Daphnia pulex: one gene and its partner. The protein of the gene in region 1 purifies or fractionates together with the protein of each later gene. This does not show direct contact. Links are inferred from orthologs where the notes say so. Each region holds a gene or a part of one and is shown in the gene's direction. Other genes may lie near its edges. The genes, in order: serine/threonine-protein kinase ATR-like and replication protein A 32 kDa subunit-like.

Region 1 (4,457 bases):
AATCCAAATGAAATGCTGCCCGCGCTGTAAAACCATTATCCGCTCATGTTACCGTTACGGAAATGTTATCAAGCGAAATTTCGGCGACATTGTGGAAGTAAAGAGGATGCTTTTGCGTTCTCGTGAAAGCCCCAAAGATTTCGCCGAGAAGCATTTAAAACAGATTGCGACATGCCATACCCTAAATACTGAGCTGACTGGTAAACTCAACCATGGCATCACTGATGTTTTAATTTTTGGATTGGAAGGAATTCGGAATAACCTCACTCCAACTATTGTCCGAAAAAAACCCGAGTATAAACGTTTGGATGAAGATACGCGCTATCTGATCCAAGTTCAAGTTGATGTCATAGAAAGAGTTTTGAGCGTCGTCAGAAAATCCCCGGTGATTACAGCAACTGGTAATCAAGCTCCAATTGGATATATGAGTCGCCCTTTGCTGGAGGATCTTTTAAATCGAACGCAACAACTTCTTTTGTCTCTTTTCCATCGCGAAAGATTTGCGTCTCAAGAACATGAATGTTTCATTGCCGAAGTCAACCGCTTGAACTTGATTCGAGCCTTCTTTTTGTTGAAGAGCTCCTCCACCTACAACAGAAACTCTTTGATAAACGAAGAAAATCGGCAGGTAGAAGAGCTGTTGATGAAGAATGTGAAGCCATTGAGGGATCGTGAGATCGTGGTGATCAAAGAAACTTTGCAGAGGATGGGCAAAAAATTGAATACTGGACTTGGCATCAGCGACATCGAACGTAAGGAAATTATTAAGGCCATGGGACTTACACAGGGACACTGGTTCAAATGTCCGAATGGCCACATCTACGCGATTGGAGAGTGTGGAGGAGCAATGCAGGAAGCCAAATGCAACGAGTGCGGCGCCCAAATCGGCGGAGGGAGTCATACGCTTCGATCAGACAACCGCGTTGCAGGCGAAATGGATGGGGCTCGATTTGCTGCATGGTCAGAGCAGGCAAATAATATGGCCAATTTTGAAATAGATGATTAAGTGTTATCATTCATCTAATCTATCTATCAAGTGTTCGGTTCTTAGTGATACCACGGTGATACAGTCATTATGGACATTTCTTAATAACTTTTTTTTTATTCATTTTCGCTCGCTGGCGTCTAAAACTCTAAAGCAAGGAATGTATGATGCTGTTTGTCCCCCAAAAAAACTAAGTTTTGTATTGTTATTCAAAATATTTTGGTGGACCACATGAAACAATATTACTCTGTCTGTATTCATTGTTTGGAATAAGGAAATTCTTCTTCGACTCTGGTTTCTTGTAATAAAGTTGTAATGTCTTGTCTTCTTGAACTCGTTTTCGTAATTGATTAATTATAATAACCTAGACTTTTTTTAAATTTTTTATCGTAGTTATTTTTCATTTTTTGCATTTTCTTTACTACTGCCTTGTTTTCTTATTTATAATCCGCCAACGCTGAAATGTAAGATGGGCGCCAAAACCTCTTAAACTGGACTTTTTCTTTGAATCCGTCTGCTATTCACACGTGATCGTAATTTGCTGATGCGGGTGATATGGTTGTTGTTAGCTTTAGTTTTGCGTTAGTTTCGTGGTGTGTGTCGTGGTACTTCAAGGTGCCCCGTTTCGTTAGTACTTTGTTTGCATAGTTTCGTTAGTACTTTGTTTGCCAAGTTTACATAATGACATCTTTAGCAGTAAAAGTAGAACAAAGTCAAAAGACTACAACTATGGAAATTCAAGAAGAAAGCTCAACAAGTGCTCACTTCAGTGCAGTTTCGGATCACCGGAAAATGATGGCCTTGCCTGCTTTAAAAATTTTAGCTGACCTAGATCATTCAGAAAAAAGCTTTGTCGTGTTGATGTCTGTCATGGACAGATGCTGCCGTGAACCAAATAATCAAGGTGTTTTTCTTGGATGTGGAAATAATGAAAACGATCACAGTTTAGCTTTTGGTAAGATTTACATTTCTGTTAATGTCTTATGCTGGTTTCTCTCAAAATTAACATCTGTTTGTTTTGCAGCTTACACTAAATGGTTCCTTGGCAGATTCGCCATTATATTTACTCGGAATTCATACATGAAAGCTTTTAATCCATTTATTGAGCTGAATGTTAAAATTTTGAATCTATTCAGAGATAAAGAACCTGCCCAATTTACTGCTATTGTTAATGAATATGCCAACTTGTTGAAGGAATTGGTAGGAATTGTATCAAAACAATCCAATGAAGAAGTCTGCAATAGAAGCTTCAAGCTACACTCCTTCGTTCTCAAGGAACCAGTAACACTTGCAGCAGATTGCCTTTTAAAGATGGATGGCTTGCAACTAAATTCATTATTAGAATGCTCCCTTCTGCAAAATAGCATTACCAAGGTATCTTTTGTAAATTACAATTTTGTTAGTGTTCTACAAAATATTTTTGCATATTTTTAGATTTTTGCTTTGTCAGCTGATGGCATTTTGCAATATAACCATCAATTGTGTGACAAACTTGTTTGTATTTTATTGGATCAACTAAATTATGGAGGAGTTAGTTCATTTAAAGCTACACTGGACTGCCTTGGGAAAATCATGATTCATAATTATCCAGCCAGAGTAAATATTTCACACATCCTTAGGCTCTTATTATGGTTTCTATTAACATTGTGGTAAATATATTTTATTCATTTATTCGTGCTGTCAGGTTCTTGAGGTTTTTCTAAGCTACGCATACCGCCTAGTAAACCTATTAATGGATAAAAGCAATCCACTGTGGCTTGGAATTAGTGAAGATAGCTACACAGAAATAGAAATCGCGCTAACTGACTGTCTCAGTCGCCTATCTAGTCTTTACGGCTTGAACAATGTAACTAATCACCAATACCTGAGGCTGATCAGTTTTATTTTACTTCATCAAAAATTCCACCAACCTTGTATAAAATATTCAATATATTTGAATGCTTACAATAACATTAATTTTGAATTTATTCTAGCTTTACTTCCCAATCTTTTACAAAGTATGCTGGGCGCACTTCAGAAATTTACATGCCCGGAAACAATTTCTCTTTGTAGATTCACACCTGATTTATGGATCAAGCTGCTAAAGCATGCTAAAGTAACTGACCACAGAATTTCATTAAACAGCAATGTTTTATTACTAAATTTCTTTACCTGTGTAGGTTGCCATTCCACCCTTACTTATCATCTTGCAGAGTGAGATGACGCCTGGAGACTGTCCCATGGAAGTTGATGAGCCACCATCTGCTAAGAGACTAAAAATTGATTTTCTTCCGCCATCGACTTCTTCTACTTTATGGGAACAAATTAAAAATAGCTGGAAAGAAATATTGAATCAACAAACGGCAAGTCAATCAATTGAGATGACCGACGCTATTGCTTTGGTTAGGATCGCAATCGTTGGAGTCAAACTGAAACTGAAATGGCGCGAAATGAACTCGGTCTTGGATGAAGCCGACTTCGAAAACTTAAACGGAAAAATTTGTGAAATTCTTTTAACCAATGAAATCAACAGTGAAGATATGGACGCTTGGATGGATATAATTTGCGAGTATTTGGTCTGCTGTATCCCACTTACTTACGTCGGAATCGATAAGAACGTCGCTATAGCGTGGTTTGCCCTATCGTCTCTTCCTTGGCTCTCGGCAGTCTCTGAATCATGTGACCTGGAAGCCAAATGGATACAGGCCAGTCGAAAATTCAAGTCTTCTTTTCTAAAGCGCCAGAGCAGTTTCGCCAGCTGCTTTGTGAAATTCCCCGTCGCCTTTTTTAAACCTTGGGCCGTTGACATTGGCTTGAAGATTTTGGACATCGAGTTTCTTCAAGCTGACGCTGAGGCACTCATCCCTTCTCTTCCATGGATCGTCCGCCACAGCAAGTCGTTCCGCGAATCAATAACACAATGCTTAACCACCATTTTGGCTTCTGGTTCTAGAGAAGAGATAAGGGAGTTAACAAAAAATGGAGCAGACCTTGTCTGTGCTCTATCAGGCAAGATGAATGTTGTTAATAATCCAGAAGATGGACTGAGTTTACGGTGCACTCACAATCTCGAAAATCTTGCTACATCATTAAAAGTAAGCATCGTTCCTGAAGATATGGCGCTCTTCTTCCTCGAGTTTGTCTTTGATGAAAATGATATTTCGCTACTCCACCGCGTGGATCTTTTTCGATCGGTTCTTTATCATTCTGCTCGAACCGAAGCCCTTCGTTTATCAATCACCAAGAAACTGCACAAAGTGGCGCAAATTTCGGTTGAAAAAAATTTACCATCTCTTCAACGAGCCATCTTAACGTGCGCAACCATTTTGGTACAGTTTTGGAAGGAAACTGTCATGGCAGACTGCTTTCACATCCTCTTCAAGATATTGTTGCTGTCTGCCTATACATCCCCTGTAACGTGCTGGACTTCATCGACGGTTAAGGATATTGCTTCGAAACTCAGTACTACTCCCGAAATGCTCTTTCAGCGTCA
Region 2 (3,546 bases), on another chromosome or scaffold:
GTTTGTTTGTATGGGAAACAACTTCGTCACTCTCACTTGGTCTTCTGAATCTTTCTTGAACGGTTGATGATTTTCTAATGTTTTCTGGATGTTTTCGCTCTCGGGATCTTGATCTATCTCTGCTACTAACATGTGTGGAATCTCTATCTGAGGTTCTTTGTTTTTTTCTTTCTGAAGGATTGGAAGATACTGCATGACTATTAGGACTATCATGCCTTTTTGAGGATTCTGCTTCAGTTCTTTCAGGTGGCAAACCAGTTCCTCCATTTTTCCAGTATGGATTTAATTCTCTACTTGACTGCCCTGGTTTTTCCATCATGGTCTTTCTTGCAATTTCTTCATTCTTGTTCAGGGATGTTCGTTTGGGAGGCATGCTACTGTTACTGAAAATTGGAAGCAAAGAAGGCACACTCATCCATTCATCTCTCTCAAGAGGAGCAGATGAAGCGGGTTCTGTTGTTTCAGATGTTTTCTCTACCCATTCATCAGAATCAGAGGAATTGTCTTTTTTCTTGCTTTTTTTATGTTTCTTATCCTTTTTATGTTTTTTTTCTTTTTTACTTTTTTTGGATTTACCGGACAATTGAGCATCCAACTCAGGCAGCATCCATTTGTCTTCACCATTTAATTTGGCCAATTCTTTTTTAGCTTTCCTTTTCTCATAATCTCTTTCTGCCTAAAACAAAAGAAAAATAAACTAAACCAAATGTATACCAGTAAAATACTATTAAATCAAATTGGTGAAATGTGATGGTGTATTACCTTCGCAAGAATTGCCTCTCTCGCTTCTCGTTTCATTTGTCTCATTTCATCTAAGTCTTTAGAATTTTCAAAATTTATCGACATTTCAAAGGATTATTTCTATGGGCTAAAACTTGAAAAAGAAAACTAGAAAAGCAACACAAATTATTTTCAATCAAATTTACAAAAACGAAAACATTCGTTTTGACGTCTGTCGTTTTGAAGCGAAAACAAGCATTGCCAATTTGTTCAACCAGAGTCATCCGGTTCAACTTTTAATTTTTTTTACAAGCATATAATAAATTTTAAAAACGTTAATAAAAACGTTAATTAAAATTATCAATTGTAGTAAAAATTGTAAAAAGATGCCATTTAATTCAATATTGATATCAAATGTTTCCAACTCGTCAACATCGGATTGCGAAAACTAGTTTTCCCGCCATCTATAAAGAAAAGAAAACAGTGGATAGACGCAGTACAAGTTACAACGTCTGCATACCTGATTGAAGTGATTCACGTGCATTACGTTTTGTTTTGAGAACGACAAATTTAAACGAATAATTGAATTAATCTATAATGTGGGATCAATCAGCAAGTAATAAATACAATTTTGTCAAGCTTTGTGTTATTAACTTTACATTCTTTCCATTACAGGCGATTTTGGAAATGGAACAATGGCCGGTGGTTTCTTTAATGCTGGAACTCCAGGAGGCACAGTTAATACTCCTGGAGAAAAGAAGGTTTGAAGACATTTTTAATATCTCATAGACATTTTCTCATGTTTGTTTCATTCACAGGGTGGAGCTCAACGGGCTCATAATATCATTCCAGTTAATATCAAAGATATATTGGATGAAATTGATGAAAAACTAAAGATAGAAGATACTGAAGCCCACATGGTATCCATATTTATCTTCACTTTGAGTTACATTTACTTATGATTTACAACTTATCTCTTTTAGGTTACATTTGTAGGTACTGTCGAACAGATTGAATCCAAACAGACTAATGTTTCGTACACTGTAAGGGATGATACAGGTTCTATTGAAGTTGTTCAGTGGATTGAGGGTGAAGGGGTATGTATTGTGTTCTGCATATGTTTTCACTCATTATTTATTCCAATTTATTTTTGCAGAATGTCCAATCACCTTTTCAAGTTGTGGAAGGGAATTTTTGTCGAGTTGTTGGATCTATTAGACAGACACAGGATCGCCGTCACGTAATGGCATTTCGTGTTGCGAAACTAACAACTGCTAACGAAATAACAACCCACTTGCTAGAGACGCAATGGGTTCGTATGAAGTTGAGACAGATGAAGAGAAAAATGGTAATGAACAACTCAAATGAATGCTTGAACAAAGGTAAATGATTTTTATTTATAAAGGGAGAAGGAACAGGACAATCAATGAATAACTCAGTGATGGGTGGTGGAATGACTGGGCCTTTAGCTTCTTCATCCTCAGCTACTTCCAATGTGGCAAACGGTATCATGTCAGGACTGTCATCTTTTCAATCTATGGTTTATACCATCATTCAGGTAGATTCATTTGTCATCTATGTGATCAAATTCAAACAATAAAAAACCATGTTATTTTTAGGCAACAACAGCGGAAACCGGCATGGAAAAGTCGCAGATCTACAATTCTGTCAGAGGAAGAATGATCCCACGTGATGTAGAGTAAGTGTATTGATGTGGAAGACAAACATGTTTTCATTGATTTTAATTTAAATTTTTTATTAGTGCTGCTTTGGAATTCCTTTGTTCTGAGGGACATATTTACTCTACGGTGGACGAAGACCATTTCAAATCGACCGATAGCTAAACAAGATTAAGATGTACTGTACCTTCATTCTCATTAAATATCTACTAGAATAGATACATTATACTCAAAACTGTGTCGACTCAGTCTGCGGAATTTATCCTGAAGCTATTAATTCCAACTGTTTTGAAATGGTTCAGTTCTGTCTGTCTTTCAACATAAAAGCTTAAATCGTCTAAAATCCATCGGATCTACATCGGATAATTCATTTTCAGTATATTCAAATATCAGGTACATAATGACCACGGATAACTGGATCATGTCTAATTGCTATGGCAAGTGTTTGTGATGCATTCGAAGTAAAATGTTATTTACATCATAGAATGAAGACGTAAATGTTAGGTATCAGGCAAATTTACTTCTATTATTGGTGATAATCTTCTTGGAAGTTCCCACAGTAATATCCCGTTTCGTTGCCTACGAATAACCGTAGCGCCATCGGTTTCATCACTTGGTTGGAGTGCCGCTTTACTATGATAACATTATTGATTCAAAAATTAAAGCTAAACTCGCTAACATGTAGAAAATGTTTTGCTAAAGTTATCTTACTTTAATAGACGGTTATGATTTACTCGGTAAAGTAACTTGGGATTTAGTTTTGCAGGATCTTGCGGCTCAGACAAAATGCTTCCAATGGTACCAATGATTAAGACGATCACCACGCTCAATACCGTGTACCACAAATACGAAATCCGTAAGAGCACAAATGCATCCGCTCTAGAATGGAATGAAATATCGCGTTAAGTTTCAAATTATTATCTAGAAACGGACTCATACTTTTGAATAAAAAAATGAACGGAAGGTGACCCAACGTCTGTTGAATTGAACGACGGGCAGTTATCTGTGATAAGTAGTTTCATTTGATCATTCGTAATTAGATTATTAGTTTTGGCAATTTGTGTGCTTATTCCCAGCAACATCATAATTGCGAAAGATATAATGGCTCCAAATCCTGCTCCCTTTATAATCAACAATACAAGCAATA

What was found.
Region 2: the proteins of serine/threonine-protein kinase ATR-like (region 1) and replication protein A 32 kDa subunit-like purify together in Homo sapiens (affinity purification with western blotting; 3 studies listed by BioGRID, with this or other methods). This does not show direct contact. The link is inferred for Daphnia pulex from reciprocal best matches to the Homo sapiens genes ATR and RPA2.

The regions. Positions count from the first base shown.
Region 1 is NC_060021.1:4,789,946-4,794,402, reverse strand, and holds the start of serine/threonine-protein kinase ATR-like, read left to right. Parts: upstream 1-1,430; 5' UTR 1,431-1,666; coding exon 1,667-1,940; intron 1,941-2,009; coding exon 2,010-2,359; intron 2,360-2,419; coding exon 2,420-2,581; intron 2,582-2,669; coding exon 2,670-2,898; intron 2,899-2,958; coding exon 2,959-3,080; intron 3,081-3,144; coding exon 3,145-4,457. Other genes in the region: NFX1-type zinc finger-containing protein 1-like, read left to right, coding at 1-1,006. UniProt on the Homo sapiens protein: Serine/threonine protein kinase which activates checkpoint signaling upon genotoxic stresses such as ionizing radiation (IR), ultraviolet light (UV), or DNA replication stalling, thereby acting as a DNA damage sensor.
Region 2 is NC_060017.1:2,573,715-2,577,260, forward strand, and holds replication protein A 32 kDa subunit-like, read left to right. Parts: upstream 1-1,174; 5' UTR 1,175-1,317; coding exon 1,318-1,336; intron 1,337-1,395; coding exon 1,396-1,481; intron 1,482-1,538; coding exon 1,539-1,640; intron 1,641-1,703; coding exon 1,704-1,817; intron 1,818-1,876; coding exon 1,877-2,068; intron 2,069-2,125; coding exon 2,126-2,278; intron 2,279-2,339; coding exon 2,340-2,419; intron 2,420-2,482; coding exon 2,483-2,564; 3' UTR 2,565-2,742; downstream 2,743-3,546. Other genes in the region: CWF19-like protein 2, read right to left, coding at 1-676, 763-846; sodium-coupled monocarboxylate transporter 1-like, read right to left, coding at 2,900-3,032, 3,111-3,278, 3,339-3,520. UniProt on the Homo sapiens protein: As part of the heterotrimeric replication protein A complex (RPA/RP-A), binds and stabilizes single-stranded DNA intermediates that form during DNA replication or upon DNA stress.